Linked DNA regions of Kluyveromyces lactis. The protein of the gene in region 4 purifies or fractionates together with the protein of the main gene of each other region. This does not show direct contact. Links are inferred from orthologs where the notes say so. Each region holds a gene or a part of one and is shown on either strand. Other genes may lie near its edges.

The links.
Region 1: the proteins of RRP46 (region 4) and MTR3 purify together in Saccharomyces cerevisiae (affinity purification with mass spectrometry; 7 studies listed by BioGRID, with this or other methods). This does not show direct contact. The link is inferred for Kluyveromyces lactis from reciprocal best matches to the Saccharomyces cerevisiae genes RRP46 and MTR3.
Region 2: the proteins of RRP46 (region 4) and LRP1 purify together in Saccharomyces cerevisiae (affinity purification with mass spectrometry; 6 studies listed by BioGRID, with this or other methods). This does not show direct contact. The link is inferred for Kluyveromyces lactis from reciprocal best matches to the Saccharomyces cerevisiae genes RRP46 and LRP1.
Region 3: the proteins of RRP46 (region 4) and ECM16 purify together in Saccharomyces cerevisiae (affinity purification with mass spectrometry; 3 studies listed by BioGRID). This does not show direct contact. The link is inferred for Kluyveromyces lactis from reciprocal best matches to the Saccharomyces cerevisiae genes RRP46 and ECM16.

Annotation. Positions count from the first base shown.
Region 1 is NC_006042.1:1,685,648-1,693,508, reverse strand, and holds MTR3 (exosome non-catalytic core subunit MTR3), read left to right. Parts: upstream 1-3,611; coding exon 3,612-4,322; downstream 4,323-7,861. Other genes in the region: KLLA0_F18370g (uncharacterized protein), read right to left, coding at 798-1,337; CHO2 (phosphatidylethanolamine N-methyltransferase), read right to left, coding at 4,504-7,053.
Region 2 is NC_006041.1:1,505,483-1,513,074, reverse strand, and holds LRP1 (Lrp1p), read right to left. Parts: upstream 1,473-7,592; coding exon 939-1,472; downstream 1-938. Other genes in the region: DNA protein crosslink repair co-factor UBX5, read right to left, coding at 1-680; KLLA0_E16985g (uncharacterized protein), read left to right, coding at 1,922-2,440; PEX3 (Pex3p), read left to right, coding at 2,885-4,336; SCF ubiquitin ligase subunit SKP1, read left to right, coding at 4,642-5,190; YSP2 (Ysp2p), read left to right, coding at 5,555-7,592. UniProt on the Saccharomyces cerevisiae protein: Required for exosome-dependent processing of pre-rRNA and small nucleolar RNA (snRNA) precursors. Involved in processing of 35S pre-rRNA at the A0, A1 and A2 sites. Required for activity of RRP6 in 7S pre-rRNA processing.
Region 3 is NC_006042.1:1,594,064-1,603,431, reverse strand, and holds ECM16 (ATP-dependent RNA helicase ECM16), read left to right. Parts: upstream 1-3,535; coding exon 3,536-7,351; downstream 7,352-9,368. Other genes in the region: DNA helicase RAD5, read left to right, coding at 1-2,145; SAS2 (histone acetyltransferase), read right to left, coding at 2,212-3,171; RSC58 (Rsc58p), read left to right, coding at 7,668-7,723, 7,943-9,368. UniProt on the Saccharomyces cerevisiae protein: Probable ATP-binding RNA helicase. Required for 18S rRNA synthesis. May play a role in restructuring of the pre-rRNA.
Region 4 is NC_006040.1:1,264,478-1,272,366, reverse strand, and holds RRP46 (exosome non-catalytic core subunit RRP46), read left to right. Parts: upstream 1-4,937; coding exon 4,938-5,615; downstream 5,616-7,889. Other genes in the region: KLLA0_D15081g (uncharacterized protein), read right to left, coding at 1-671; ALE2 (Ale2p), read right to left, coding at 1,221-2,207; PIS1 (CDP-diacylglycerol--inositol 3-phosphatidyltransferase), read right to left, coding at 2,565-3,242; thiamine transporter TPC1, read right to left, coding at 3,611-4,564; VAS1 (valine--tRNA ligase), read right to left, coding at 5,769-7,889. UniProt on the Saccharomyces cerevisiae protein: Non-catalytic component of the RNA exosome complex which has 3'->5' exoribonuclease activity and participates in a multitude of cellular RNA processing and degradation events.

The DNA.
Region 1 (7,861 bases), on a different chromosome or scaffold from region 4:
AAAAAAAGAAATGTGTATATATGTATGGGAGCAATTGACACACCTCTCAAACTGGATAGAAAAGCGGTCTGAAGATGATCTGGTAGAATTATGTTCAACCTAATTCCAATGTATTGGTTATTATTGGATAACTGGAGTAATCTAATGTCTTTTCACAGGTATAAATGGCAATCAGCAGCTAAACATATCCTGTTTTCTATGTGCAACATGAATATACTTAGAATAGGAGGTATTACTGACTGCTATTGAGTTAGACCCTCTGTCGATCTGAGGGAGAATAGAGAAGACATTTTATACTTTAAAGTTGTCTCATCTAGCGGGAGGTCTTTTACAGTCCACTTAGAAAATACCGTGGTGAAACAGGTTAATGCATTTTGACCTTCAAAGAATTTCCTGTCGAACAGAAAGAAAGTGCCTCCTGGATCATCTGGTCACGTGACTCAATTCTATGCATTATCCAAACCGATTGTTCCTGATTAAATTAAACGATTATACAATACGTTTAGTATTGGACGCAGTTATGTAAATATGTTGAAATGGAAACGGCATTAGCAGCTCGAGGTAGCGGTAAATTTGCTTTGAATCAGTAAAAATAACCAACATGGATTAACATCACATATCGACGGGAATTTCTACTCTTTTGGAGGTGACCCTCTGAGAAGCAGCCTAGCCAATACAGTTTAGAGTGACTTTTTTTAGACGGATGTTCCGATACATAAAAATTCCATCATCTTTAATTTTACAGATCATACATGCTGGAAAGTAAAACGAACTGTCACTTTGAGAGAATATTCTGCTCATTCATCGGCATTCTTCTCGATCCAAGTTTTCAACTGAAGCCAATTCACATCTTGAGAAGTGAGATCCGGTTGAGTGAATGTATCTACCGGGAAAGTTTTCCTCACAGCAACTAAGGTTGGGATCTGTGTGACACCAAACCGTAACATCGCTTCTCTGGTTTCTAGGAAATCAGTCTCCACATCACAGATATTAATTCTCTTATCCGTTTCTAAAAGTACAATCCTGTTTAACGCTCCAGTTAATTTATTACATGTCTCATTTCCTCTAAAGGTGAAGTTTAAGATTAAGGGGAGACGGTTGTTGAAAAGAAGTACGTCATTCAATTCATTGTCGTTCCTGATAGGTAAAAAACACTGATTCTTCCCTGTCTTCACATATGATTGCGATGGTGAAATGTTCTCTTCCTGGGTGAACGGATAAATTATCTTGGACCACCATGAGTTGTTCCGCACTGTACTCCTATATAAAACAGGTTTCACAGAATCAGCTCCTATACGTAACAAAAGTTTGTGGTTTTGGGTGATTGTTTGTAGCATAATGAAGGTCCCTTAACGAGTAAATGTTTTTTCTTCTGGTATGTTATTGTGGTCTAATAGAACTTAATATAATGGCCTTTTCGCAATGTTTTCCCCTAATCTACATAAGAGTTGCTGTTGGTAAATATAGTTTAAAATTAGAGTTTGGTTTTCGACGGCTTGTTCATAAATTGGGTCACGTGATTAATCCTTTTTTTTAATTATGGAGAGGCTTCTTTTTCATTCGAGCTTTGATGTATGACGGATAGCGCCAAGGGTAATGTTGATACATCCGAACACATCTTGGTTAACTCTTGGAGAATAAAATAGTAAAGCACTTGCAAACAGGAGTGTAAAACAATAGCATTTAAATGAGATAGTTCGAGTCTACCGGCGTAGTTGAAGGTTTTAGTATTAGATGTTTAGGTAGAATAGTAATACGAAGATTCCAACGGTAACACAAGAGTATGGAATTAGTGGGCAGAGTCACATGACTTGTGTTTTTTTCCATAGGTAAACATGCGAACAGAAAGGTCGATTATGATCAAGAAAGATTTGATCTGAAATGTATACTCATTTGCAATCTCATTTCAAGAAAAAGTCTACGGAAGATGTTTCATTTATGGGAATTGCTGATCATATGCTGTATATTTTTCTTATACTGTTAAACTATTCCAGTAATATGCCCTGTAAGCCTGTGAACTGAAATGAATGGCAACAAAAAAAAAAAAAAAAAGGAAAATGGGTGCCACGTAAGTTCATTATATACAGGTGGTTTTCAACGGGACTTCAAGAGAATAACAGCTTCTATGGCCAAGTTGGTAAGGCGCCACACTAGTAATGTGGAGATCATCAGTTCGACTCTGGTTGGAAGCATTATTTTCTTTTTGCAGCTCCCGTACAGCCGCCTTGCTATATGACAATGACCCTAGATCACTCTGGTCTACGATTAGCATCGTAATGCTACCGCGATCTGATGTCAAAGGTTTCCTTACAAAGAGAGCCAAAACTTATGCATCAAATTTTTTAAGATTGGATTGCCGTAACTTTAGTCAATACTTTTCCTCCCTCTTCTGAAGTATGTACGAGATAGTACATTAAGTTCAATATACTCGTTGTTCCCTATGTAAAGATGTATGTTGGCCTTATTCAACGGCTTTCTGCCTTGATGTTCTTGTTTTTACGATTCAATCTCTCTTAGATTGTTAGTTTTTGTTCAAGAAAAAAGATTGTAGGTTAACTGTCATTCATGATATTCTGTCCTACTGCAACTTGTTTGAATCAATGGACATTCCAAGTTATATGGTTAGACTTTGAGCAATATTCGCAGAGTAGTTTGATTTTAATCAGAGTCCTGGGCTATTGGTGGGGTGTAATATCAAAAATCTTTATAATTTCTGCCAGATGCCTGGAAGAAACGTTACACTAACAGAGTCGGTTTAATTCAAAAATGTACTTTGGTCATCCTTTTCTTCGGTGGTTCAACCAATGAACGAATGACTTGCCTTGATTCTTGAAACCTATGCATGAAAGAGCTTCTGGTGAGAGCATTAGCGAGGGTTCGGCTTTCGATCTGGTCCAAGTGAATAGCTTCTGACTTTGTCTTGATGATACACCCAGAAACGATACTGGCTTTTGTATGTACGACTGGCAAGGCGGGTTAGAGTGGGGTGTTTTAGTTGCCAAATCCCAGGTTGTGAGGGGGGGGTCTCCGTCTGCCCCTCCACCGGTTTGCGAAAACGGTCACCTGGCATGAACCGGAAACAAGTGCTGTTTGGAAACATATGAGAAACATATGAGAAACACCAGTTAGTCACGTGGTTATATAACTTCACAAAGCAGTTCTCTCCGTTTCCTTCTGACGTATGAGGTGATGAGCCGAAAGCTAGTACACGACTCTTTTTCAGAAATACGGATCTATTACTATTTACTGGTTTGACAATACCGGGCGACAGCCACTTCTTCTGTTTAGAAATCATTTCACACGTACTGATCGTCGGTTGATTTGTAAAAAAGTTCCAATGCTGCCTGCCGATAATTTGGAAACAAGTACGGTACGGAAACAAACGGGAAACAAATAGGAAACACATATATATTATCACGTGATGACGTTAGAATTTTTCCATCTCGACTATTTCAATCGTGGTATTCTGTTAGTGACCGTTTTGCAAGTGAATATACATGCGATGAGATGCTTCCAAGTTGACGTTGGCTAGTGCCATATCAGCATATATTTACTTGAGTTTGTTTCCCATCGTTATATTAAACTAATACCCACAGAAGAGAGGTCTATTAATGAGTGTGCAAGATAGAAGAAGAATATTAGGGCCAGCAGAAGCGAAGCCATTGCAGTTTGCTGCAATTACTCCTGTAAGAACCGTAGAGAACAGGGACGATGGTAATGGTAATAAATCGGGTAAGGAATCTGTGTTCATTAGTACGGATTTAGTAACGAATGCAAATGGTTCCTCATACCTAGAATATATGGATGGTACTTCGGATCAAGTTCTCGTAATGAGTTCTGTCTTCGGACCCAGGCCATTGCGAGGCTCCTTCCAATCTAAGGCATCAGTATCGATTCAGTTCAAAGAAGTTACGTTAGAACATTTGAATACCGGAGAAATTAAAGAAATTTGTACTTTCCTAACAAATGTCTTTAATGCGGTGATAAACGTTGAGAAGTATCCAAAATCTGGTATTGATATCTTTATAGATTTGATCCAGCATTCTAATAGTAATCCAACAGAGGAGGCAAATATCGTTAATATTCTACCCACATGCATTAATTCTATTACCATGGCTCTTGTAGACGCAGGTATTGAAATCATTGATTTAGTGAGTGCCGGGTCAAAAGATAACTCTGTGGTTGCGTTTATTAGGAATGGACATGAAATCGTCGGTATTTGGAGCGATGACGATAACGTCACTGACATATCAAAATTAATAGAAGAGTGCAAGGCAAAATATTTGGTAAATAAGCAGACTTTGGTTCAATATCTTAAATGAAATGAAATGGTTAACGTAATTTCATAGTGATTCATAATTAATGTGACACGAACGCTTCTTCTGTATTAGCAAAATAAAAATATACAAGGCTTTACCATTAAGGGTGAGGATTCGTTAGAAACATATCCTATTTATACATGGGTTGATACTTTAGATATAGTTAAGTACAATAGAATGCGATTTATTCCAAGTTATCTAACACTTGCTTGATTTGCCATACTTTTTTGGTGATAATATCGATATCAAAATTGGTACGTTTCATGTAAACAACGGAAACATCGGTGTCCATAGTAGACTTATACCAGTTTTGTAATGTTTTCCCAGTGAAATATTTGTTCCTATTCAAATCAAATTTATTATCATTGATTAGAACACCACATTGTTTCAAGAACTGCTTCGTGGTAGCAATTAATTGGTCCACGTCTTTTACAGTTTCTTTAAATTGAGGGAATAATAACTTGAAAGGTTTCGAGATCATAACAACATCGTGACTGTTAGCACTGTGGTATCTAAATTCATAAATACCTTCTTCAAAGCAAAGGATACTCTTATCGAATTTTATAGATCCATAAGTGAAATGGTCATTTGAATCGAAATGCAAAATCTTCTGATGATCTTCAGAATATGAAGAGCTCGAAGATACCGCCGACCAATGTCCTTGAGATGGTATCTTTGTAGTTAATCTATCTTCACCAGTTTCAACGACTTTGTAAAGTCCAATCCAGTCATCTTTGTGGAAAGCTTCATTGGTAACGGCCCATTTGATTTCGATTTCTTCTGGAATCCGAATCGTATTTTCGTCATTGATGTTGACGATATCCAAGTTAAAGTGGCCGGTGCCTTGCAAATTTTTCACCGTTTGCTCTCTAATCAAAAGCATATTGATAATCGATTCCCAATCTCCCTCACGATCTGCTTCAGCAACGCTTTGTTTTGGCACTAGACTAGTGAATAAATAATCATCGAGCAATTGATCAACTTTATCGATTAAACTCTTGAAATCCTTACCAAATTTGTACTTGGTCAAAGTCTTTTCGAAACCACTAGATGTTGGTTTGGTTCCATAAACCTTTAACAAATGTGGTGTTTCGATGAATTTAACAGTGAACCAATTGAACATCGTCCATGTAGTGGCTAACCAGAGATTCCAATTTGAAAAATTGTTAATTAAGACGGTCCCCCAGATACCTGCAACACCAAACACACGCTCAGGATTATTCAAGTATCTATAAATACCATCGTTCTTCAATTTCCTTTTGTCAATTAAATTAGGTAGGAAGAAATCACCATAAAACCAGCCAAATTCTTTAATACTATGGAAGATCTCAGTGTTGCACCAAATTTGAATAGCCAACAACAACAACCCAAAGGTTATTGTATTGTAACTACCTGAGTCACATTTGACAAAATGGTAGTAGCATTGCAATACCAAAAGAATATAATTGATAGTGCTGTGTAAATTGTAGATAAACTGCCACATTTGATAAGCATAAATTTCATTGTATCCATTCTTCAAGTATAATGAGGTGAACCATTTGCTATTCGATTGCTTGTATAATATAGTCATATTGATAACAGATGACACAATCTTAGTGGTCAACGCAATTTTGGATAAAGTGACAAAGCTTGGGTTTAAAATTGTGCACCCAATAACAATTGATGCCACGGTGATTAAAGTGATATAATCAGTTGGTTTAAACTTGTCAAAGTTTTTGAAACCCAAGAATGTTGTGACTAATGGCTTGGAATAGTTATCTAATTGTTTGACCATCTTATCATCAATTGATTCCTCTTCGTCGGATGAATCAGATCCATAGATGCGTTCGATATGAGGAGTTTCCACATACTTCAAAAACAAGAATTGCAAACAGTGACCAAGAATGGAAACGAAAAGAACATGATGATCGCCGGAGATTAAACTCAACCCATAGTAGCCAATGTAACCGATAGAATACATGGGATGTGGGAAAACGTTGAAAACACCATCAAAGACAAGGTTTGCGTCTTGCAAAAAGAAGAAATCACCCCAGTACCAAGCATAATCTTTAACCACTGAATGTGCGTCGATTTTGACCCAAATATTGAAAAGGACCATTAAAACACCGAGCCAAACTCTGATACCAATAGAATTGAAGCTAGTGATATTGTTGAGAATATCGTTATGAGGTAAAGAAATCACAACGTAAAGCATGTAAGTGGTAAAATCTTGCATTAAGATTAAATCGACAAACTGTCTGAACAAGAGCCAAGTGTTCCATTCTTCTGGGTAACGGTACAAAGAGTCGCCTTTTTGGTATTTTGCACTGATCTCGAACTTAACAAATCTTGACAAAAGGTTGTTCGCCTTTTTATCAAACAAAGTATGTTTCTTGGCGAAATTTGTCAAAGATTCATAATGGGATTGGTAATGCAATACTATACCGATACCCAAGTTGTAGGACAATCTCCAAAATATGTACTGACTCAAGAAGATAATTTTCGTGGTATTAGCACCGAGATGCTGATAAGCATAGTAGCAAAGAATAACGTTACCGATAATGGTAGCGGTGATACAGCATTCTAGGAAAGACTTCTTCAAAGTTGGATCGAACAATGATCTTACCATGTCATGGGTCTTTGGAGGGTCGAATCTGATAGTCGATGAAGACCTTGGATGGGCTATTGGAATTTTCACATGTGAATTTAACTTCCCATCAGGTTTCAAAACGGTCGATTCACAGGAAGTAGCCATCCTGCGGGTATAATTTTTGTTTGGTTATTTCAGTTGAGTGAATCGATGAAGAGATAAACGATTTAACGGGAGTCTGCTATGGAAGTTGAGTTCCTCTCTGTTGAAAGATCCTTCGTAATGTTGAAATCGAAGTCGTGGTCTTTGAATTACTTTTAACAGAAACTAAACCCAAACCAAAAAACCTCACCGGAAACGTAGAGTTGAATCTTTATTTTTAAACGTTAAGGTAGGAAAGTTGGACTTAAAGAAATCCTGTCTTGATATAAATAATATTCTAAGCGGAATTAGACCGGTTGAATTTAGTGAACTTTTGATTTGAATTTGCTTAGATCTAGTGTTTTTTCACATTCAAAAATACAAAACAGTACCCTAATTGTAATCAGAACGCAAAAATCATATGCTAAGTTCGAGAAAAAGACAAGAAACCACTCCCAAACGTGAAATGTGTCAAAATGTGAAATCATCACCGAAAATCCCCCAAGCAATCTCTACTTCCAATAGCGAAAAAAACTAATCTTTATATCAGTTTCCTGCTCATGTGAAATTAGTCAGAATTGTCGAAAAAAATGATGAAGCCACACAAACTGTGGTGTCTGCTGTTTGTTACCCGGAGCTAAAAGAGCCAAAGGCCATTTAGCTCCGGGTAATGGTCGGTCATGTGACTAGCAGCTGATTCTCCAGCTTCAACATATATATATATATATATATGCACGCCACATGCGCTTGCACTCGCTTCAATTAAAGCTATAAATCCAATCCCAATACAATTCGAAAGGTTAGGGACGCTACGTGATAACCTTTGGAGTGA
Region 2 (7,592 bases), on a different chromosome or scaffold from region 4:
TCGAATGGAGGTCTAAACAATAATGCTAGCCTGGTTTCCTTTGACATTGGTTTTGGCTTCTTAACCCATTTCGTATATTCCCGTAGTTCACCATCGTCGTCTATTTCCACGACGTTTTCTTCTACGTATTCGTACTCATCCTCATTACTGGGATAATTTTCTTCATCAGTAAACGCAGAATCACTATCGTCATCATCGTCATCCCGATGGTAGTTGTTAGATCTACCAGAACGTAGTAGGTCTGTGTCTAATTGTTGATTAAAAATTCCTGAAGGTCTTGAATTGTCAAACATATCCCTGGCATTACGCAATGGTTCAAAAGAACCTCCAATACCACCATAAACACTAGGAAACACATTTGTCTCCACCAATGTCTCGTGTCTTGCCTGATCCGGAGCCCTATATTGATCTTCATCCTGATACGCTTGTCTTTGTAATTCTTCAGCAAACTCTACGTCGCCACTCAGACCGCCAGAACCCCCTGTATTAGCACCAGCACCAGCACCGGCATTATTATTACCAGAATTGCTGTTCAACTGTCTCTCACCACCATGTTCAAAGAATAACGAGATGGCTGTTTCCAAATTGCCTCCGGCCATCTCAAGGAAATGTCTTGACAATTCATCGTTATCTGTACCGCAAACACCTTGGAAAGTTGAAATATCCTCGTCAGATATCATGGCTATTGAAATGTACTTCTTTTAATCCTTTTACTGGTCTCTGTAACTCTCTGTTGCCACTTGAAACCTGTATCTTTGGTTAATTCTTGTTCACGTTTGCCAACTGGAATTTCCTTCTTTTTGTTTCCCAATTTTAGTGTATTTATACTATACAACTTGTTATGTCAGTGAAAAATGCGATGCTAATTATTAATATAGAATGCCAGAATAAGACCCAGGAATACATGGATGAACATGCCAGGACATATTTCAGATGAATTATTTCTTCGATACTTTACCAGATTGTTTTTGCTGTTTTGATTTCTTTGTTCCGTCTACTACTCGATTTGCCAGTCCATCCTTATCAGTGCTGGTGGTGGAAGCCTCTGTCGAAAACTTAGTATGTTTCCCCTGAAAGTTGACTTTACTGATAGCAGGTTCCATTTTGCCACCTCCCAACGCAGATTGTAGAACTCTTTTTGCTTGTTCTTCTTGCTCCACCTCATCCTTCTCTTCAGATTCTTTCTTAGCTTCTAACTGTTTAGATTTATCCATATATGACTTACACCTTGCCAATTCGGCCATGATAGGTGACAGGTCTTTGATATTGAGGACTTTCATGTATGAAAAGCATAGTGAACTCAATACATATGCGTATTTGTTTGAAAGATCAAGTTTCTTCTTTTCATCTTGCAGAAGCAACAGTTGTTCGTCCAATGACTTGCTCGTTAGTTTGTTAATCTCACCACTGAGTTGTTCCACCTGTTTATTGAGATACGAGATGTATGGTTTAATTTTCTTAGTATCTTCCATGCTGGTAGTTGTATGTGGTCCGTGTTCTTGTCGTTGTCGACTGAGGCAGCGATGAGATGAGATGAGATGAGATGAGATGAAGCTGTATAATACCGAGATGAAGTATTCTTCACTGAATCAAAATTTTCGATCAATAACATAATACTGCGAATTTTTCGCAATGGAACAAAACGCATAATAATCTGCGTGCGTTTCGCACGTAGAAGTACTTCAGTAATATTTCTATTTCTTTATCCAGCGAAAATTCCATATTTGCCTGCCAAAAAAAAAAAAAAAAACGCAAGACATTACACACATTCATACCACATATATGGAGAACCTGTACTCAATACAGGGCGAGTAGTCCTATTTGGACTGTTGAAGTAACATCCACCCTCCGCCAGTATACTTAATTTCAACACTGGCCTAGCTCAAGAAGTACTTTAGTTTGTTTCTCGTCAGCATAGATAATGGTCGCTGATGACTTATCGAATATAGAGACACAGCTACGACAGGTTCGTGAGAAATATCGTGAGCAAGCACACTCGCTCTCGCCAAGCGATGCAGAATCATGGTCAACCTTGGCATCAAATTTGCAGAAAGTCGTCACAGAAATGGATCAGCTTTTGCAGCGGAACTCTAAACAGATGAACGTATCCTTCCTATTGAACCACGAGTCATCATCGCTTCAGGCTGGAATACAGCCACCGCAACCGCTTCTACAGAACCTATACCAAAAGAACGGGAACGACGAACAGCAGAACCATCTCAAAGTCAAACTCGATAGAACTGCGTTCTATTCGGAAAATTCCCCCTTCCAACATCAAATGGATCGGTCTGGTTCATTCAGACTCTGTCCACCTTTAGCACATACAAGTGCAGAAGATTACTTCCGCAACGATACGCAAACCCCAATTATGATCTCAGATGGCCAGATCCTGGAGAACTTGGCCAATCTTAAACGTCTCACTGAGATGCAACGCCAATAGGTGGATGTAATCTTCGTTTTCGTTTGAGATTCGACACATCACATATATGATCCATCTTTTATTTGAGTCATGCGAACGTTTTTGACCAATTATACACATATACACATATAATATGTATAGTAAAAGATAAAGCTGTAATGATACACTATAAAATATCTGTTGGCACCAGTTGCAGAACCATAGAGGTTCAATACCCAACGCAATTCTATCTCTTTGGTATATGTTTTCTCTTAAATCTGTCGAATTTGTCGCTCTTTGAGGGGGAAACAAAATTCGAAAAACATTAAAATAACTAACTAGCAAGTAAACATCAACATCAATAAAGTATCAAGACAAACAACGACACTAGGAAAGCTCTACACGCAATCTGACAACGGCTGTAGTGGAAAATCAATAGAAGAATTACATTGCTCTAAGTTATAAGTTATTTTTTTACCCCTCATCATGACTGGGAATCGATCTCTGGTTCAGAGACACAGAAAGAAGTTCGTTGTTTCTAGTGTTTTGTTTGCTACGCTATTTGCTACATGCGCTATTACGGTCTATTTCAGTAAAAGATGGTTGTACAAGCAGCATTTGAAAATGACGGAGCAACGATTTGTCAAGGAACAGATCAAACGGAGGTTTGTACAAACTCAGCAGGACTCGTTGTACACTCTTTATGAATTGATGCCGGTAATGACGTTAGTGTTGGCTAAGGATTTCGATCTTGATTCTATTGTAGAGGCTCTAAAGGGGAAAAAGTTACAGAAGAAGCTTTCCAAAGGTGAAATAGCTGGGAATGAGTTGGAAAATGAGGGCTTAAGTTCAGGAATGAGTGCGATGACGCCTGCACCCAGTGTGTCAGCGAAATCTCCGCAATCTGCAGATACCACTAGCGTTTCTGAAACGTCTACGAAATCCAAGGCCGAGCTTTGGGACGATTTGAAACTCAAAGCTATCACCAAGATCATTATCTTGTCCTATACCACATCATTATTGATGCTTTTAACCCGATTGCAATTGAATATATTGGCAAGAAGAGAGTATTTGGATACTGCCATCAATTCTGCCATGGAAAAGGAAAGGGAAAAGAAGGCTAATCAATACTCAGTCTTATCTTGGTTCTCTAGTTGGATCACTGAAAAGAGCAACAATTTACCCAGTGAAAAAGCTGACCCAAGAAACAGCGATGGTACTATTGACACGGACACAAGGAGCATTGCATCCACTGCGAACCCTGAAAAATCGAGATACGTTAACGAACAAGCTTTCTTATCCTTATCGTGGTGGTTATTAAACCGTGGATACCTACAATACAAGAGTATCATTGAACAATTGGTGAAAGAAGAGTTCCAAAATTCGAACCCAAGAGATATCATGACAATGGATGAGTTCAGTGGCAAGATAAGCAAGATATTCGTCACCACAAACAAGCAATTCTTTCAACAGCCACAATCGAATGAAATGTTCATTTCATGTCTACTTCCTGAACCTAACTTAGAGAGATTTGTTCTTCAACAAACTTTAGAACAAGATGCTTTGAAAGTACTATACGAGGATAATCTATTACTAAAACAACTTGTACAAGAGACCAACAAATGCCTACAATCACCTGGAACATGGATTGTCCTGGAGTCTTTAATCGATGAAACATTCCACACAATCATGGAACAAATCGAGGATAATGTCAACAGCAAATCGAAACCTAAATCGAATGATGACGACACCAAAGTAGTCGATATATCCAAAAATTCATATCAAATCGCATTATTCTCTATCGCCACGAAAGACTGCACAAACGAAATGTTGAAAGCGGGACTCGTATCAATGAACAACAAGTTCCTACAGAAACTACACTCCATCTCGGCACTTGACGATCTCAGTGCATGCGTATATAGTAACTTCGGTCTATGAAAACCTTACTTGGCCCTCCATTCAAGTACTGAAATCGCTCCATACCGTGTATGTAGATAGTTCTATAGTTAACGTTACTCTTTCACTGGCACTACGGGGTTTCTCTTCCTGTTTCTTTAATGGCCACGTGATCATAATTTTCTTTTCCTTAAGGTCAAATAACGAAAAGAATCGAATTCCCAACAGGTTGTCAATCAACATGTTATACATCTCAGTTAATGTTTGCAAGTGGATAGGAGCTTGGTGTTTGTAGTTAGTTAGCACCATAGAGTTACCAAGTGGGTTCTATTTAGTACCAGAAAATCATGTCCAAGGAAAACCAGAACGTTGTTTTAGTGAGTGTTGAGGGAGAGAGATTTGTCGTTGACAGGAAGATCGCTGAACGCTCACTTTTACTAAAGAACTACTTGCAAGATCTTAACAGTGGCGATTTGCATGATGATAACGATGCTGACGATGACGAAGATGATGAAGAGGATGGTGACGATGAAATAGTGATGCCCGTGCCCAATGTGAGGTCGTCAGTATTACAGAAAGTGATCGAATGGGCCGTTCATCACAAGGATTCCAATTTCCCCGATGAAGATGACGACGATTCGAGGAAAGCTGCGCCTGTGGATCCATGGGACCGTGAGTTCTTGAAAGTGGACCAAGAAATGTTATATGAGATTATTCTAGCAGCTAACTATCTAAATATCAAGCCATTGTTGGATGCTGGATGTAAAGTTGTTGCGGAGATGATTAGGGGCAGAACACCTGAAGAAATCAGAAGGACCTTCAATATCGTTAACGATTTCACTCCAGAGGAAGAAGCTGCCATAAGACGTGAAAACGAATGGGCAGAAGACCGTTAAACTTACAAGTTTTCTTGTTGTTTTCTCTTTCTGTATCTACATCCTCTTCAGTTTAAAATAGCAATTTCCCTCATTTCCCGTATGTAATCAATAATTTAAGTACTTGCTTGTTAAGCGGATCTTAATTGAAGTAGTGAATTTGAGTCATGGGCAAACGCAGGGATCGCTTTCATATCGCATTTATAGCTTCAAGGTCTGTCTCTGCACCGATAATTTTTCATTTTTGTACCTATATATAATATTTAAAGAACGCGCTACCTTAAATTGAAACTTTTTGCTTCTGGTTTTATCTATTCAAGGCAGAACTGCATCGATAGATGCACCATAGGACCCTTGTTACTGGTATACTTGGTGTAGGATTGTGATGACGTTGACCATTGGTGAGGAGACCAAATCCAGACTAAGATCGCTAAGCGGGAATACTAGTTCGTTGCTAAATTTAAACAAACGCAAGAAGAAGAACAAGGAAAAGAAAAAGGATAAGGACAAGAGTCAACCAAAGTCTCAGGGCAATACACGTGTGCTACGGTCTACGAGTCTGAAACCCAATGTCAATGATGATGCATCTGCATTATCGTCGAATTCGAGCTATGATAAGGTGTATTTGATGGATGGGAGTGACCATAAAGCAGGATCTGCGAATCATGCCTCTGATAAGAACAATGTTTCAAGCACGGGTTCAGGTATCCAAAGCATCAAGATTCGTAGTAGCAGACAGTCTGGCGAAAAGTCAAGATCGAGGTCGCTGAGGATTTCTACATCATTGTCGAGGCTTCCGAGAAAGAATTCATTAAATGCAGGAAATGATACGTCTTCCACTGAGGGTTTCAATCAAACTGCAATGACAAGGGAAGAGAACACTGATCCATTGGGTTCGAGGTTACGGGTAAGCGATAGCAAGGCTTCTCTATCTGACGTACCATCAACGACTCTGTTCACCAAATTCAAGTCTTCGAAAAGTGATAGTGCGACTCCCGTAAAGAGTAAGCCAGACGAATCTGATTCCGGCCTCTTTTCATCGCTAATATCGGCTGCACATAACGCTGCTAACCATTTGATACCCAAAAGTTCACTGAAGAGTAGTAGCAGCCTTTACGATGAACCGTCCAATGGAGATAGAACTCAGTTGCTGACTTCTGGTATTGGTGGTACAGATACAAGTAATGATCCATACAACCATACAGGCTCATTTCTGAATCATTTAGACTTCCTTCTTGCTCCCAGCTCGAATAATGATTATTTACTGAAGAAGGCGACGACACTAGACACCCTTAATACCAGCGACTCCTCTACATCTTCCATTTCTCAACAAATGACTAATCCGTCTTCTACCGTGCCGTTATACGATGATAGCGATCAAGATGGTAATAACAGTGATGATATTGGTTCTGTGGGAACTTTCATGGATAAAGTCAAATTTACATCAGTAAAGCAAGATAATGCCCCCCCAATTTCGACCTTTGGGAGGGGAAATCTAACTTTAGATGCCATTGAAAAGGACAAAGATGATCTCAAGTCCACCGGCTTTCATACACCAAGTGTGCTGATTACCACAGACCAACCAGATCGACCGGTATCGTCTCCGTCCCCACTCTCAATGCCTAATGATGATGCAAATACGGACAGCAATACAAATTCTGCCAGTCCTTCATTCGAAAAAACTAGGCCGAGGAACGGTAGGTCAAGACGCCCCGAAGTGTTGAGAGATTTAACTATGAGATCATTGTCGCCTGCTGCAGCTACGAAATTATTTACAGCACCCCTAAGAAATTCATTTTCGGGCAGAAACATGACAAGAGCGAGTAGCATATCCAAGACCAGTGATATTGTTCAACCACCTGGAGGACCAACACGCCTGTCAACTTCGGACATTCCAATAAAGAGAAAAACTGAAGAACCAGAACTTCAAGGCATTGAATATGCAAGTGCTAAGCGTAATACAGATTTCCATACAATCTTTAAAGACACCGTAGTATCTCCAATTGAAAGATTAATAGCGGATTACAGTTGTGCTTTATCAAAAGATATTCTCATTCAAGGTAGGTTATACATATCTGATAGACACATTTGCTTTTACTCGAATATTTTGGGATGGATGAAGACTGTTGTAGTTCCATTCAAAGAGATAGTTCAGATCGAACAAAAGAACACTGCCGTATTATTTCCTAATGCCATATCGATACAAACCTTACATGACAAGTTCCTGTTTGCATCTTTCATATCAAGGGACAGTACATTTGATCAAATTATGGATATATGGAATCAAACAATAATCAATAAAAACTTCAAGCCTAAACGAGGTACTATGGGATCTGCCGATCTGATGAATGATGAGAATCTGACTCTTGATAGTGAAGCTTCAAGCATGGATTACGATGATGAGGATGTTCAGACTAACGACC
Region 3 (9,368 bases), on a different chromosome or scaffold from region 4:
AAGCAAAGTTTGTCATGGATGCTCAAAAGAGAATACGAGTATAGTCATTTATCAGAGAAAGCCGCAGAAGTGTCTATTGATGGGAATAGTATGAATCCACTATGGAAGAAATTCCGCTGGCCATCTAATTCAAAACAAGGGACTCCAAACCACGAAGATGATTGCTTCTTTTATGCTAATTTATACACTGGTGAGTTTTCTATCGAGAAGCCGGTCATTAAGACGATAATCAATGGAGGTATTTTGGCGGATGAGATGGGTCTAGGGAAAACAATATCAGCTTTAGCATTGATTTGTACTGCTAGCTATGATGAGGCTCATGAAAAGAAAATTGAGTCAACCAAAAAGCCTTCTATGAAGGAGATGTCTTCTCAAGTGGATTCCTCTCCATTACGCCATTCTCAACATAAGCATGACACTTATGCTTACAGGACGACGTTGATAGTAGTGCCGATGTCCTTATTGAATCAGTGGCAATCAGAATTCGAAAAGGCCAACAAGGACCTCAAAAAACGTTGTGAAATTTATTACGGGAATAATATTAAAGATTTAAGGGCGTATGTGCTTGGCCCCAACGCTCCCTCAGTAATCATAACTACTTATGGGATAATTCAGAGCGAATATGGGAGAACCTCAACATCGGGATTATTCAATGTGGTCTTCTTTAGAATAATATTGGATGAAGGTCATACGATTAGAAATAGAAGTACAAGGACATCTAAAGCTGTCATAGCCTTGCGGAGTTCCAGAAAATGGATCTTGACAGGAACACCAATCATCAATCGACTTGACGATCTATTTTCCTTAGTTCAGTTCTTGAACTTAGAGCCCTGGTCTCACATCAACTATTGGAAGCGTTACGTTTCAGTTCCTTTCGAGAAAGGTAACTATGCGCAGGCATTTGATGTCATAAATGCAGTATTGGAGCCTGTGCTTCTCAGAAGAACGAAGAATATGAAGGATGTTGATGGCAAACCTTTAGTCTCTTTACCTCCAAAGGAAGTAATCGTCGAAAAGTTGCAACTTTCATCCAGTGAGAAAAGAGTTTATCAATCCATGTTAGAAGATGCGGAAAACTCTGTTAAAGAAGGGTTGGCCAAAGGTGATCTATTGAAGAACTACACTAATATCTTGGTCCATATTTTAAGACTTAGACAAGTCTGCTGTCATTTGGATTTACTCAAAAAGACACCAGATCTCGGAGACCCAGATCTTGAAGATCTGGAGAACTCAACTCAAAACATCTCCTCCATCCTCATGCCAAAAAATATTAAGTCACCAAAAAGTTCCATTTCTCAAGATAAATTGGATGCTTTAAGTGCGAACTTTCGTGATATTCACAGCGCTTCAGAGCAATTACCTTCTTTTGAATGTGCTATTTGCACCACTGAGTGTATTGAACCGCTGTCTGCGGTCTCTATAACAGAGTGTCTCCACACATTTTGTGAACCTTGTTTGGCAGAATACATTGAATTTCAGCAAAATAAAAAACTATCCATCAACTGTCCATATTGTAGAATGCCGATCTCAGAAGCTAATGTGTTAAAGCTAAAGGAGCCAATTGATGCTGAAAGAGGATATGAACTAATTTCGTTTCATTCACATTTCCAATCGACTAAAATTAAAGCTTTATTGAGGCATCTCAAGCAAATACAAGAAACTTCTCCTGGTGAACAAATAATCGTATTTTCTCAGTTCTCATCATTCCTAGACATTCTAGAAATAGAGCTACGTTCGCATTTGCCAAGAGATCAGGTAATTATTTACAAATTCGACGGACGGTTAGATATGAAGGAACGGACTAGAATCTTGGAACAGTTCCACGATAAGGATTTGAGTTGTATAAAGTTATTACTTTTGTCGTTGAAAACTGGAGGTGTGGGATTAAATTTGACTTGTGCATCAAGAGCGTTTATGATGGACCCATGGTGGTCTCCAGGTATGGAAGATCAAGCGATTGATAGAATACATCGTATTGGTCAGCAGCAAACTGTCAAAGTTGTCCGGTTCATTATCGATAATAGTGTAGAAGAGAAAATGTTAAGAATACAGGAAAGAAAGAGAATGTTAGGGGATATTGTTGAGGGTGATGAGGCAGAAAGGAGACAGAAGAGGATCGAGGAAATCCAAATGTTGTTTCAATAGACTATCATGACATTCAATCATATAGAAGCCTTTTAGGGCTTTGCATTTAAGCTGTTATTTAATTCGTTAATCATCAAGTAGTAGATATTCATCTTTGATCATAAATCCATGGGATACCTTGTTGCGTCTTGCCCATGAACGGATGATATTGAGTCTTATTTCAGAATCACTTAAACAATCAAGATATTTGAGAGCTTGAATTATATCATTGATTCTAAAACCAGTGGCCTCGGAAAGATCCTTCAAAGTGACCTGGGCCACATCTTTCAAATTACCTTCAGTCAACTGCCAAACTATTGAGAAAGACCAAAATTTAAGATAGCCAATTAAACCGAAAGGAGATAGAGGAACTTCAGGACCCGAAATCAGACCCTGACATCTTGATAAAGTGTAGGAAAACTCAATCAAGAGAGTACCCAATCTTCTTCTTTGATAGGGCGGAAAGACAAGAATACATGCAAGGTTATTTTGGTGGTAGGAATATAAGTCTTTTGAAAAAAATGCCATCGGTACTGTAGAATTGTTCTCATACACAATATAGAATTCGAAATGCTTAACTTTGAAGTAGACAGACTTGTTATCAAGAAATAGCTTAGTAAATAGACATAAGCATTGGCAGAAAACTTCATGCTTAGAACCTTTTACCCTTCGTATAGTGTATTCGGGGCTTCTGTATTTTATTCTACCGGGTGGCTTATTCTTATATCGGCAAAAGCACTCATGTGCGATTAACTCTGCTTCATCATCAGTGTACTTGAAACAATATTCACATACGTATAGGGTATCAATCCAATACTGATCTTCAAACTTCTTTTCAGTAGGGCTTTGTTTTGCGGTGTGCTCATTGTTCGATTCCTTGAAGCCCAAGGTCCTCTTATTTCTTCCAAAATAAACATTACTCCCGTACCAAGTTGCAAATCTTTTATTCAAGCCAAATTGGACGTGCCTAATATTAGGCTTGTCAAGAATACCATATATTTCTTCATCCTCTGTTGAGCTGTTGTGCTTATCAGGTTTGGGAACCATTCATTAATGATTTGAAAAGAGGCAAAAAATGCGATTTATCACGTTTCCCAAATTTAATGAGTACTTGAAAACCCAATTAACGGTGGAATCAACTGCTCTTTGAACTTAAATGTACAAAAGATTGCCTATATCTTTGAATTATCAAAACGTTGAAAGCGACTTTCTTTTTTTTTTTTTCATCTTCCTTTATGGCAGAAAAAGCTTTAAAGCTCATCGCATCTCATCGCATCCAAGCTCACCTGCATCTATATATCAAAATCTCGTTGATAACAGGCTGGTAGTCTGAATGTTATAGGCCTCTGTGACATTAACAGTCAAGAGAAGTACCTCGCACGTTAAACGGTCAAAAAATTGAACAACAAACATGGGTACCTATAGGAAGCGCTGGAATGAGAAAGCACGCGCGGGTCAGATGTCTAAGTTGAAGGAGTTGAAGAGAGTAAGGAATAGGCAGTTCACCCGTGCACTTGAAAATTCTTCCGATGCTGATTCTGAAGAAGGTAATTCATCTGAAGATGAACATCATGAATCACCCGATCATCAGGAAGATACGAACGCTGCTGTATTGAAACCCATGACGGAGGAAGAGAAACAAGAGAAAAAGCGTAAATTGGAAGAGCTATTCACACCTAAGGAAACGAAGGTCTCTAGGACGAAGAAAAAAAGGTTAGAGAAGTTCATCGAGCATCAATTGAAAAGAGAGGAGAAAAAAGTTTTGATAGAAAAACTTCAGGACTATAAAATTGATACTAAGCTTTTGACAAGTTCTAAGATTTTGGGACAAGGAAGGCAAACTAAGAGGCAAGGGATTGAAGAAGCCCTCAAATTAGAAAGAAATGGACGTGGTGATGAAACTACCAGGGAAATTCTTTACGATGAAACTGAGGTAAGGGATTGGTATCAAGATCATCCAGAAACTAGGCCCAGTCAGGAAAGCACAGCTGAAAATTGCAATTCGGATAGTGATGAAACGGACCATACCAGTTCAGATCACCCTATTTCGGCAAATACTGGGGGATTTATTGATAATAGACCCAGTAAATTTGGTGGGTCAGGTTTTGGTTTTGGATTCGGTAATGCAAAGGTGGTGAATAAAAGGGCCTCGAAGAAAAGGTATAACTGGAAGCAAAAGGTAGAGCAAGAAGAACGTAGAAGGCGTAAACTGGATGATGATCAGGATTTTGAATCTGACGAAAGTGAATCAGAAGAACATTCATCCACTGCAGAAAGTGAACCTGATGAGAGTGAATCTAATAGTAATGCTGATAGTCACAGCGATGATGAGTCGAGTGAGTCTGACGGCGAGGAAAGATCGGATTCAGAAATAGCGCAGTGCAGAAACGTAAGTTCTTCAGTTGCCCAAGAATTTAAAGAGTGGGCAAATCAGGAAATTAAAAAGCTTGAAGGTAGAGATGTAGAAATGGTTATGCCTTCCTCCAACATCAAGGTCGATAGGACCGAGAGACCTGAAGACTTTGAAGATGGACTCAAAGCAGATGAATTTAATGTGAACGAAAATTCAACACGTAAGGCTTTTTATGTCAAGGTACGGAGATCTGATGCTGTTCAAGCTGTGAGAAGCGCACTACCTGTTTTCGCCGAGGAACATAGAATTATGGAAGCTATCCATCATAATGACGTTGTAATCATTTGTGGTGAAACTGGTTCAGGTAAAACGACACAGGTACCGCAGTTTCTTTACGAGGCAGGATATGGTAATTCGTCCTCAACTGACACGCCTGGGATGATTGGAATAACACAACCTAGAAGAGTGGCCGCTGTCTCTATGGCTGGACGTGTTACTAATGAGATGGGTGATCATGGCGAATATGTAGGATACCAAATTCGGTTCGATTCTTCTACCAAGGATAAAACAAGAATGAAATTTATGACTGATGGTGTTTTGCTAAGAGAGATGATGAACGATTTTAGACTTTCTAAATACTCTTCTATCATTATCGATGAAGCTCACGAGAGGAACATCAATACAGATATTTTGATTGGTATGTTAAGTCGTTGTGTCAGCTTACGTGCTAAGGAGCATGCAACTGATCCGGCTAAGTACAAAAAACTTAAACTAATTATCATGTCTGCCACCTTGAGAGTATCAGATTTTAGTGAAAACCCTACTTTATTCCCTGTTTCTCCACCTGTCTTAAAGGTCGACGCCAGGCAGTATCCAGTGGCTGTACATTTCAATCGTAGAACAGCTTATAACTATGCTGAAGAGGCTTTCAGGAAGACGTGTAAAATACATCAAAGGTTGCCTCCTGGTGCTATCTTGGTTTTTATGACAGGACAGCAAGAGATCACGCACATGGTAAAAAGGTTAAGAAAAGAGTTTCCTTTCCCCAAGAAACATCAAACTCTCATTCAAAATGACCACATACCTACAGTGAAAATAGATGCCAAAACTGCAGATGTAGAAGCTGAAGATATCGACTTCAGTGTCAGAGTTAGAGAGGAACAAGAATTTGACGATTGTTTACTCTCTGATGAGGAAGATATTGAGGACAAAGAAGAGGACGAAGAAGAAGGTTTTGAAGAAACACTTGAAGAAGGTCAGACGGATAGAGATCCACTATATGTTCTTCCTCTTTACTCGCTATTGCCCACCAAAGAGCAAATGAAGGTCTTCCTTGATCCCCCACCAAACTCCAGATTATGTGTTGTTGCTACTAATGTGGCAGAAACATCATTGACCATACCGGGAGTAAGATACGTCGTTGATTGTGGTAGATCAAAGGAAAGAAAGTTTGATGAAAATAATGGTGTTCAGAGTTTCGAAATTGACTGGATTAGCAAAGCTTCTGCTGGCCAAAGAAGTGGTAGAGCAGGGCGTACAGGGCCTGGTCATTGTTATCGTTTATACTCCTCTGCAGTTTTCGAAAGAGATTTTGAGCAGTTTTCTAAGCCTGAAATTTTAAGAATGCCTGTGGAGAGTATAGTTTTGCAAATGAAGAGCATGGCTGTTCATAATATTGTGAATTTTCCATTCCCTACCCCACCCGAAAGACCAGCTTTGATGAAGTCAATAAAGCTCTTACAACACCTAGGTGCACTCGACAGTAATGAAAGAATCACTGATGATGGTAAAGCAATGAGTTTGTTTCCGCTAAGTCCAAGATTTTCTAAAATGCTGCTTGTTGGTAATGAAAGCGACTGTTTGAAATATGTTGTTACCATTGTCAGTGCCCTTTCAGTAGGTGAGCCGTTTTTATCTGAACAAGAGCTTGGTATCATGGATACTGTGCCCAAGACACAAGATGAAGGACAATTAGATGACTATCCTGATCACGAAGCTGAGGAAAGAAAAAGGCTATTGCGCTCCAAGTATGTTAAAAGCAAAATTAGATTTAGTAAGCTTGATAAATTCAGTGATGTTTTCCGTCTTTTAAGTGCAGTATCTGCGTTGGATTTCATTCCAAAGGATCAGCACAGTTCTTTCATGGAAAAAAATTTCTTAAGGGCAAAAACCGTAGAGGAGATTATGAAGTTGAGAAAGCAGGTGATGTTCATCATCAGGTCAGTTACTTCGAGAGAAAATGTAGCTGTAAATGTTAAAGACGAAGACTTGAAGAGCTCGATCCCCACCGATGTTCAAATCAAATTACTCAAGCAAATGATCACAGCAGGATTTATCGACCAGGTGGCCGTTCGCGCAGACCAGTTATTCCCGGAAGACGTTACTATCAACAAAACCAACATTTTCAATATCCCTTATGTTCCAGTCCTTGCTGAGAAAACATCTTCTTTGGATGATATCTTTGTTTATATTCATCCAACCTCAATTCTCAACAATTCTGGCGAGCAACCTCCGAAATACTTGGTTTTCCAATCACTACATGTCAATAAAAATAATGAAAAGGCGAAAACAAGGATGAAGTCTCTTTGTGACATTAAAAGCACGCCATTGGCTAACGTTGCAAGAAAGGGCTCGTTACTCACTTACGGAAAACCAATCACTGGACAAGGTTTGAAACCTATTGATTTATCGCCAACAGAAAGATTCTGCTATGTTGTTCCTAGATTTGGATCTTGCAATGATAGCGACATCAAGATTGGTTGGGAACTCAATCCTATCCCTGTTCATCAAGAGAAAGAGAAAGGTGTATGGACGGTCAAGAAATTCCTTACTCCAAAAGCATTTAAAAACTATCAAGCTTCGAAAAGACCCTAGAACTACACCAGTACAATTTATAGAATTAATTAACTCATATAATACCAATTGCATTGGAATAATTAAAGGCCAATACCTAGCTTGTTAGGCTATGACTGGGTACTGTTGCTGTGACAGGAATCTCTGTAAAAGCTGTCAATGGATGCCAGTTGGATCATGATGTACGGTTTTGATGTTTTTCATAATGAAAACACAGGTTTTGGCGCAGGTTGATCAATAAAGGCTTCTTACATTACTGCTGAATGACAAACTGATGGGCAGTGAGAGAGTACAAGGTCTGCAAACTCTTTTATAGTGGGCTAAAAATAAGTAAACAATGGTAGAGCTGCTAAAAGAGAATTTTTTTCAGAACTTACTAACTGTTTTAAAAGGGTATGTGAATATAAAAACAACACATTTTTCATTCGAATTATGTTGCATTCGCACATGTTTTTGTCTAGAATCGGTGATAATAATAAATTAAAGACCAGCATACGATGACCTGGGGTTCCTCAAGTCTTTATTTTATGTTTTCAGTGTTAGATTTGCCAAAGCATGATTTTATTTTACAATCAAATACTAACAGTATTAATTTTATTTTGATTTAATTAGTGCATCTTCGAAATGCAGAGCTTTAGATGAAAGGTTTCCTAAAGAATTCTACGAGCCTGATCCAACACACATATACGATTCTTACGTGAAGTTTCTAAGGGCCAAGTTTGATGAAAATCCAGATATCAAAATAGCAGAAGATATTGATTCAATTTCCATATCTGATAAATTTGCTAGTGGAGATTACCAGAAGCATGAAGATTCTGTTTATCGGATTTACCATGATATTAAATTAGTATGCTCCATTTTAATTCACTACTACTCTCAAGGAACGAGGTCGTACCAAATGGTCGACAAATTCTACAAATTTGCAGCAGAATTGATTCTAAGGGAATGTTATAGAGTTGGAGCCAAACTGGTGGGAGACTTCGCGGCAGACATTGACTTCAAAGAAAGTGATTTTTCAAAAACCATTTCCAATGATTTCCTTAAAATTAGTCAAGTTTATCAGCTCCCCGTTACTGAAACTTACCATACGCAGACAAAGGAGGGACATTTGTTCAGTTCGGTGATAACGAGGTCAGTACTTGATCAGAGGCCAAAGGAAGTACCATACGAGGAATGTGAAATTGTGAAAATTATTCCTCAAGCAACATCCCAACCAGCCAATAGATTGGGATTCGTAGCAGCTAACACTTCCAATGTTCCTGATCCAACAATTTCTCCTACAGAAATCATGACCTCCTTTCTGCATCCGAATTGGTACCCGCTACCCACTACTAAATGGTTGGAGTATGGCGACTATCAATCTTTTGCTCCGAGTATCTCGGAGTTCAAGTCTGTAACAGATTGTTCCCGTAAAGGAGACATATGGTTGGAAAAGGTCGGATACAAAAGCTGGTTAGAAATAGAATCGAAGAAGAGAGGGGCTGCGGAAGCAGAAGATAAAAATGTTGAAGATGAAAAAATAAAGGATGAGGGTATTGAAGATCAAAAGGTTGAGGAAGCAAATGACAGTATCGGATCTGACAACCAAAAAAAGGAATCAAATGAAAATGATGAAGAGCAGAATGTTGCCACGGATGAAGAGCAAGATACAAATGAGGAGGGAGATGAAGTAATAGTGACAACGGAGCCAGCTGGACCTGTCAATATTAATTTGAAAAATCTTTATGACTGGCAACCTAGCCATGAGATACATGATGAAGATATAACGGCTTTTGAGCAAGGTGAACAGCAAAGGTTATTGACAGAGATATTGCTAAAGCTAAAGGCATGTAAATCGAGAAGGGTCAAGCTGAACAAGATATCAAAACCAACAAGTGAGGAAGTTTCCCTTTATCATAGAGCACAGAACATCTTGAAAGAAGCTCTACTTTCTAAACAGATTGTGACATCTCCAAAATTGCACGAGAAACATTTCCCAGTCCTTCAGACTAATTATGCCGGATCAGTTCCTGTCGTCAAGACCATATCGACTAGAAAA
Region 4 (7,889 bases):
ATACTTGAATTGTTCAGGGTACTAGCATTACTGGCAGCAAACGGATCCGGTTTCTCGTCAAATGGCGATTTCATCTGCGTCATTGGTTGCGGTTTCTTTTGTGGCAAATTCTTCGTCAATGGATCTGAGACTCTGTTAGTACTTTCATCTAAATCAGTCAAGAATGAGAACTTCACAGAATTCTTCAAGGAATAATTGATTCTTGCGAATTGTTCTTGCGAATATGCAACTTCTCTCAAATAAATGATCATCGCCTTCAAGATCTTCCGCCATTTATGAAACCTATCCGCCAAGATATCAGTAGGATATTCTCGCACAAATGACGCTGTACCATCATCATATAAGTCTAATCCCTCAGCTTTTCCAGCATTGGCACTAGCACCTGCACCCGAGCCCACACCAACATTAGCACCAGCTCTGGCACTGATATTTGCATTACCGGCTCCTGAATTGGCACCAGCACTGGCACTGTTAGCACCAGCTCCTGCCAAGAGAGAATGCTTGGGAGTCGGAACGTTCACGTAATAAGGAGAATGATAGTTGGTCTTGGGTAAGATATCCTCATACTCGGTTTCATCAGCTAAATCCAATAAATAATTCGAATCCGACGAAGCAACTGATGAGTTATCTGCCAGTGATCCAGTATCCGTTTCTTCAATTCGCGGTTCCATCGCTGATAATGACAGATCAAAGCTTGGTTCCTTGTCCCTAAAATAAACCGATTATAAAGTCAACAGCAACAATGCTAAGCGATATTCCGTTGCCACTCGTATCACACTGGTATGTTATGTGCTTCCAGTGAATACTGATTATCTATGTTACTCGACGGTACAGGGAGTTTAAGGAGTGTTATTTGGCTTTCTTTCTTTGTTTTTGTGTTGACATGGTGTGGTGATGTGTGTGATTCAAATTCCAATTATTTCGATTCTATTTATGTACATTCTCTTGATTAAACTCAAAACAGAGTCATGGGCTCAGCCGTGTACGGTCCAAGAATAGCAATTTAGGGCATGAGGAGGCTGCTATAGTGTGCTTCAGGAAATCGTCAGAGTTTATTCAAGAACTTGATTTGGATGTACGTAAGGATATTTAGTTTATCTCTCGGGATTCTGTATCTAAATTCAATAGATTTATAAAAGTTTATAAGGCAGAATGTTACACGGCGGGACGAGCCTCAGAATCTGAGGGTCTATTCGCCGGTCGCTCGCTTTGTATTATCTTCATTTATCTTGGACTTTACCACCTTTCTTGATGATTCTGACAGCAACAGAAAGCATGGTTGATAACCAGAATAAGTTCAAAACGTCAAGGATCAGGTTACCGGTCACAATGATGGCCGTTTCGAGAGGTAAGAAGCTTGGATCGTTTCTGATGTTGTAGAAATCGGTACACAGTTGGTAGAATTGGTAGAAACCCCAGCAGATTCTTGCCAAGAAGAAGATCAAGATCAAAACGACATTGTTCACCAATTGGATCACGTTACACACCTTGGCCATGACAGTCTGACAGTCTTTGGTCAGTTGTGGCAAGTACTTGATCCCGAACCATCTGATATTCAAGAATGGATTGGATAGCTCGAACATCAGGAAAATACCTGCGTAGTAGTTGATGTAAGGTTTTAAACCAATAGCATAAACCACCGTAGAGATCAAACCGTGCAGCACGAATGGGAGGGTAGAGTAGACCAATGAAATGTAGATATCCCATAGGAAGTACCCAATTGCGAAAACGCATACCTTCACGTTATATGGGTCCATGCCAAAGATACGATCGTGAGAGTTTAGATCTGGTTTTTCATTGTTATATGCAATGGCCTCGAAACTGAGATAAAGCACGATCAGAGATTGGATCCAACTCACCAGACGAACGGCACTCTGGTTGACAAGGTCTGCATGCTGCTTTTCCTTAGACTTACGTTGGTCTTTCGTAGTCTCCGGATCCCAGGATAACCTATAAGAAGCTAGAGGTGGGAATAAGACCCGTTGAGATAACAGGAATAGCGCATGATACCCGACGGCAATGTACAACACAGTGTGTAAATTGGATAGAATCACATTCGAAGTAATCCATCCATTGGATTCGAGATATGGGATCACGTACTCGGTCAAATGAGGGTGCGGAGGTAAGGACATCACATAGGTCGTGAACAGATCTATCTGTTCGGAAACAGCTGCTGGAACGACGCTGCTAAACAAAGAACTACTCATCTTTGGTTATTGAACAGGCAACAAAACTCTCAACCTCGAGGGAAACAGTACCACAGCTGCTGGTCTATCCGTAGTAGCACAAAGCCTTTTTTTCTCCTTCTGATCTAGTTCCGTTTGAAGTGGTGAATGTGGATTTACAGTAATTTGTTCCATAAAGCTGCTCGAGAGATGCCATCATAAAATACGAGATGAGACAAAGATGATATATGGTAAAGTACGCAAGCTATGGACCGTACATTCTGGCGTTAGGTGGCATGCACTTTCAGAGTACTAGATTTCTAGTTCATTGATGTATTTATATATATATATATATATATCGGTAAATTCTATTCGGTAGTTATAAATGGGGAGGAACTCTTAGTTCTTCTTTGCACTTCTTCTCTCAGTGGCTTCTGCTGCGTCCTTATTGGCAAGCATCAACGCAGCACGGTTTAGTTGAACGACGTTGGCAATCTGCTTGAATATGTACCCTGGAAGACACACCAGCGCGATGATAGCTCCGATATGGGTGGATCCAAGCAATGGGAAGTAATACGATTTGAACTGAGGGAAGGCGTTGATATATAGACCCATGTAGAACATTTCGTTCAACGCACAAATCGTGAATAGCACCTTACGTCTCGTGTAGTATAAGTTGAGAAGCCATTGTTCCTTTTCGATGGCCTTGTGCGATTGAGACCCTGTGCTTAGCGTTGCGTACATGTGGATATAGTGGCTTGAAATGTCCAAGGCAACTAGTAGTTGGAACACGGGCGACCATACCGGATATGCCACGCATAGGAAACAGATCAATGCTGTGGTGGTGGATCTATCTGTCACCATATCCAGCACAGCACCGAATGAACTGATCTGGCCGTACTTACGTGCCATTGTCCCATCTAGTGCATCTAACAAACAAGACACTCCATACACTACCATCGTCCACAACGGATGCTTGGCCATCAAAACCAACGATAAACACATCGTCACCACACGCACATACCCTATCTGGTTTGGGATGTACCATAGCACATCTCTAGCGGTGACAGCGGACATTTGAAACTATTTCACGAGATTATTCTTGTTAACTCGTCGAGGCTCTTAATTTAAGTAGTTTCCAGAAACAATCTGCACAACTTCGCAATAGTAACACCAAAAATAAGAATTACCACTTGTACTTAGATCCTACGCGTCAATTGCAGCTAGAAGTGGCGCCGTACCGACTGGTTTTGTCGTCTCTTTTTCTCTTTTGCATCAGCCATCGGTAAGTTGCTTTGATTCGTTTGGAAGTTATCATTAAATGATTCTGATATTGATCACGTGACTTATACACAGTAGGATATTCCTCTACATCAACTATATACTGGAGGTAAACACGCTCTCTGTAACATCCTCCGTTGGTATGAGATATATCCACAGTTGTCCTATGGAGATCTCCCCCAGCGCTGTCCGTGATCAAAGAGATCCATTGTGCGTTCATACACGAAAAGACTGATTGCTGTCGTTGGAACAGATTTACATAGTCCCATTGTAAGTCCTCGGTACAACGCTGATACACCCTCCTGTCTTAGTATCTTGTAAATAATTGCAGTGGATGATTTATACCTGTACTCGTGGTAAACAGCAGGGAATTTGGTGAAATGAACTGTTCTCTTAGAGTTCATCACTTGCATTCTGCGACGTAAAGTGTCAATGGGGAACACCATCGTCTTGGATACAAACCCTGCGATGATCCCTGAACTAGCACTTACAGGTCGCGACCAGAATTCTTTCTCGTGGTTTTCACAGACTATATTCACGGTCTCATATGTGAGAAACATGATAGCCGTGGATAAAGTAACCGTTGTCATCGCAGTGGATATTCCAGTGAAAAAACCTCGTACACCTTCATTGAGCCACATTTGTCGGCACTCCTCTGCGACACTGGTCCGATGGCTCGTTCTGTTTGCTATAAGTCTTGTCCGAAGCAAATCTAGCGGGTAAGATACCACTGAACTAGTCATTCCTGCCAACGCTCCGACCGTTAGCGTTTGTCCCTGCTGTGAAAACCGAGGGAACTTCGCAGACCAAACGTTGTTGAACCACGAGTAAGATCCGAATTGTACTGCACCGTAAACAACGTACATCGCCGTCGCCGGGATGTTTCCTTTCCATAACGCTCGAAGTCCTTCTTCTTTCATTATAGTTCTCACAGTAGATGCAATTCCCTTATATTTGTCCTCTTGTACCGGTTGTAACTGATATCGTATTTTTACAGTATCCATTGGTGCAGTTGCCATCCTAGCAAATACCCCAGAAACAGAACCAGCAATCACTGAATTGTACCATGATACCGTTTCACCTTTCCTGAGATGGTCTTTCCTTATGCCAGTGTTCATTCTCTCTTCGTCATTAAATAAATCCCTCTCTCTTGATGGATTGAAGATTCACTGAATGCTGGTCTCTCGCTCCCTTCTCAGAACTTAAATGAAGCCAGACCTACACACAATCTCCTTATTTATAAATTACCACATACATGCCCTGCTAAAAGGGTCTCTGGCACATCAATTGCATTGCATCTCCAACCTCTTAGTTTCATATCTATTCATTGCGTATCCTAAAAGTGAAAAATTTCTGAATTTGAAGCTCATCTCATCTCATCCTGACATAACATTCAAAAGATGGGGAAAGAGGGACTGTAGTGGCTCATTACCGTCTATACCGACTGCGTATTGATTGTTATATTGTACCTATAGTAATTTTCTAGCCAAGATGGAGACTACGACGCATGTTTTGGGCCATGTTGATGGCTCTTCTGTTGTTTCAAACAGCGGAACTAAAGTTATCTGTTCTGTTTCGGGACCCATGGAACCTAAGTCTAGGCAAGAGTTGCCCACACAACTTGCATTAGAGATCATCGTGAAGCCTGCTGAAGGCGTACAGAGTACGAGGGAAAAGTTAATGGAAGATCAGATCCGTTCTGTGTTGACCCCAGTGCTTGCGAGATACTTGCATCCACGTCAATTTGTGCAGATATGTCTCCAAGTATTAGAAGCGGGAGAAAGCAGGGATTATACTGTGAAAGAAGTCAGTGTATGTGTTAACGCAGCGGTGCTCGCATTGGTGGATGCTGGTGTACCGTTACTCAGTATGTGTTCTGGTACTTGTATTGGTATTACCACTGAAGGGAAGCAGCTGGTGGTGAACCCAACAGAATCGCAGCTAGCTAAATGTGAATCGGTCCACGTATACTGTCTAGAGCTGGGCACGAATGAGAACGGGGATATAGATGTCAGGAACCTGCTTCTTCTTGATAGTTTAGGCAGCTTTGACGAGTCACAGTTGTTTAAAGTGTTAGAAACAGGTGAGAAAGAGTGTATACGGTTATACACAGAGTTGAGATCAGTGATCAAGGATAAAGTCGCCAAAGATTTCGTCTGGAGACAGTAGTGGGTATACCTGCACCCATGGTTCTTTATAAATTAACTTTATAATTAACGTTATCATCTTTATATACAATTTATATATATTTGCATTTATATAATTCGCATTAGCAGCGGCAGAGAGAGTAATCTAATCTATTGGACAAATAACAAAACAATTCTACAACTTCAATGCTTCCAAGTTAGCGATGGTAGCTTCCAAGGTTTCGATTTCAGCGGCAGCGTGCTCTGATCTTTCTTTGTTGAATTGCTTCACTTGGTCATTGGCCTTTTGTTCATAATCGCTGCTGTTGACAATCTTATCAATGGCAGATTTAGACTTCAAAGTCTTGTCTAGCTTCTTTTGGACCTTGGAGATTTCTGCATCGATATCGACGTGACCCTTCACAAGCACATGCACGTTAACTTCTGGGTTGACAGATTGTAGCACACAACCTTGTGGGATATCAGCAGCAGATTTCACAACGGAAACTTCATCGATTGCCTTAATCAAAGAGACGATAGAATCTTTTTGAGATTGGACAGTGGAGTAGTATGATTCATTAGCAGATTCAACAAACACCTTACCGTTTTTCAAGATGTTATATTGTGCCAACAAGGAACGAGCATCCTTTGTGACGTTTAAGATTAGCTCGTATTCCTTAGCAGCGCTTGGATTGTGGAATTCTTCCTTGAAAGTTGGGTATGAGCTCTTAACGATAGTTGGAGAAGTTTCGCTGGCGTATCTTGGTAGATGTTGCCACATTTCTTCAGAGATGAAAGGCATGAATGGATGGATCATTTTCAATGCATTGTCGATCAAGATATATAAGGTATCCTTAGCAGACTTTTGTTGAACTTCTGTACCTTCTTGAATCAAGTACTTGGAGTTCTCAATGTAAACATCACAGACCAAATACCAGAATTCATAGATGGCTGAGGTGGAGTTCAAGAAGTCACGCTTTTCAAATGCTTCGTTGACATTCTTGGCAGTTTCAGTCAATTCGTGCAAGATCCATTTTTCAACTAAGGATTCATTGCCAGAAAGAGCTTCAGAAGCTGGTGGTTTATAGTCATCTCCCAATCTCAACAAAGCAAACTTGGTAGCTTGGTAGATCTTGTTACAGAACTTTCTGTAACCTTCAACACGGAGAATATCCAAGTTAATGTCACGACCACCAGTGGTGTATGCACAAAGAGCAAATCTCAAAGCATCAGTACCACATTCTGGGATACCGTGTGGGTAAGATTCCTTTTGACCATTCTTTGCCTTCTCGACTTCTCTTGGATCTAAGTTACCTTGCAACAATTTAGCATGTAGATCCTCTAGCTTGATACCAGAGATAACATCCAATGGGTCAACAACGTTACCCAAGGACTTAGACATCTTACGACCCTGAGCATCACGAACTAAAGAGTGACAGAATACTTCCTTGAATGGAATAGAGCCGGTCAACTTTAGACCTAACAAGATCATTCTGGAAACCCAGAAGAAAAGAATGTCCCAACCAGTTTCCAACATGGAAGCTGGGTAGAATTGGCTCATATCTGGAGTCTTATCTGGCCATCCTAAAGTGGAGAATGGGTATAGACCAGATGAGAACCAGGTGTCCAAAACATCTTCGTCTTGTTCCAAAGTGTACTTCTTATCAGCAAATTTAGTGGCTGCCTTAGCTTCGGCTTCTTCCAAGTTTCTACCTGACACCCAGAATGAGTTATCGTTACGGTCGTTTTCTTCACCTTCAATGTTCACGAAGTAAACAGGACAACGGTGACCCCACCATAGTTGTCTAGAGATACACCAATCTTGAATGTTTTCTAACCAATGGAAATATTCAGATTCCGAAGACTTTGGTGTGATGGTAATTTCACCGTTTCTAACAACTTTGATGGCTTCTTCAGCCATTTGCTTTTGCGAGACCCACCATTGAGGCTTCAATAATGGTTCAATGATATCACCAGATCTCGAACATGTTGGAATAGTCATTTCGTTGTCTTTTTGACCAACGAACAAACCCTTTTCCTTTAACTTTTCGATAACTAACTTTCTAGCGTCGAATCTCCTAGTGCCCTCCCATTCAGGACCACAGTTTTCGTTCAATAGACCATCATCGGTGAAGGTGTTGATAACTTCCAGATTGTGACGAAGACCGGTGTTGTAATCGTTTTGGTCATGTGCAGGGGTGATCTTCACGGCACCAGTACCGAATTCCATATCAACGGCTTCAGCATCGCATACAATTGGCATTTTACGATTCAAGAAAGGATGTTGAACGAAGTGGCCATGTAAGTGCTTGTAACG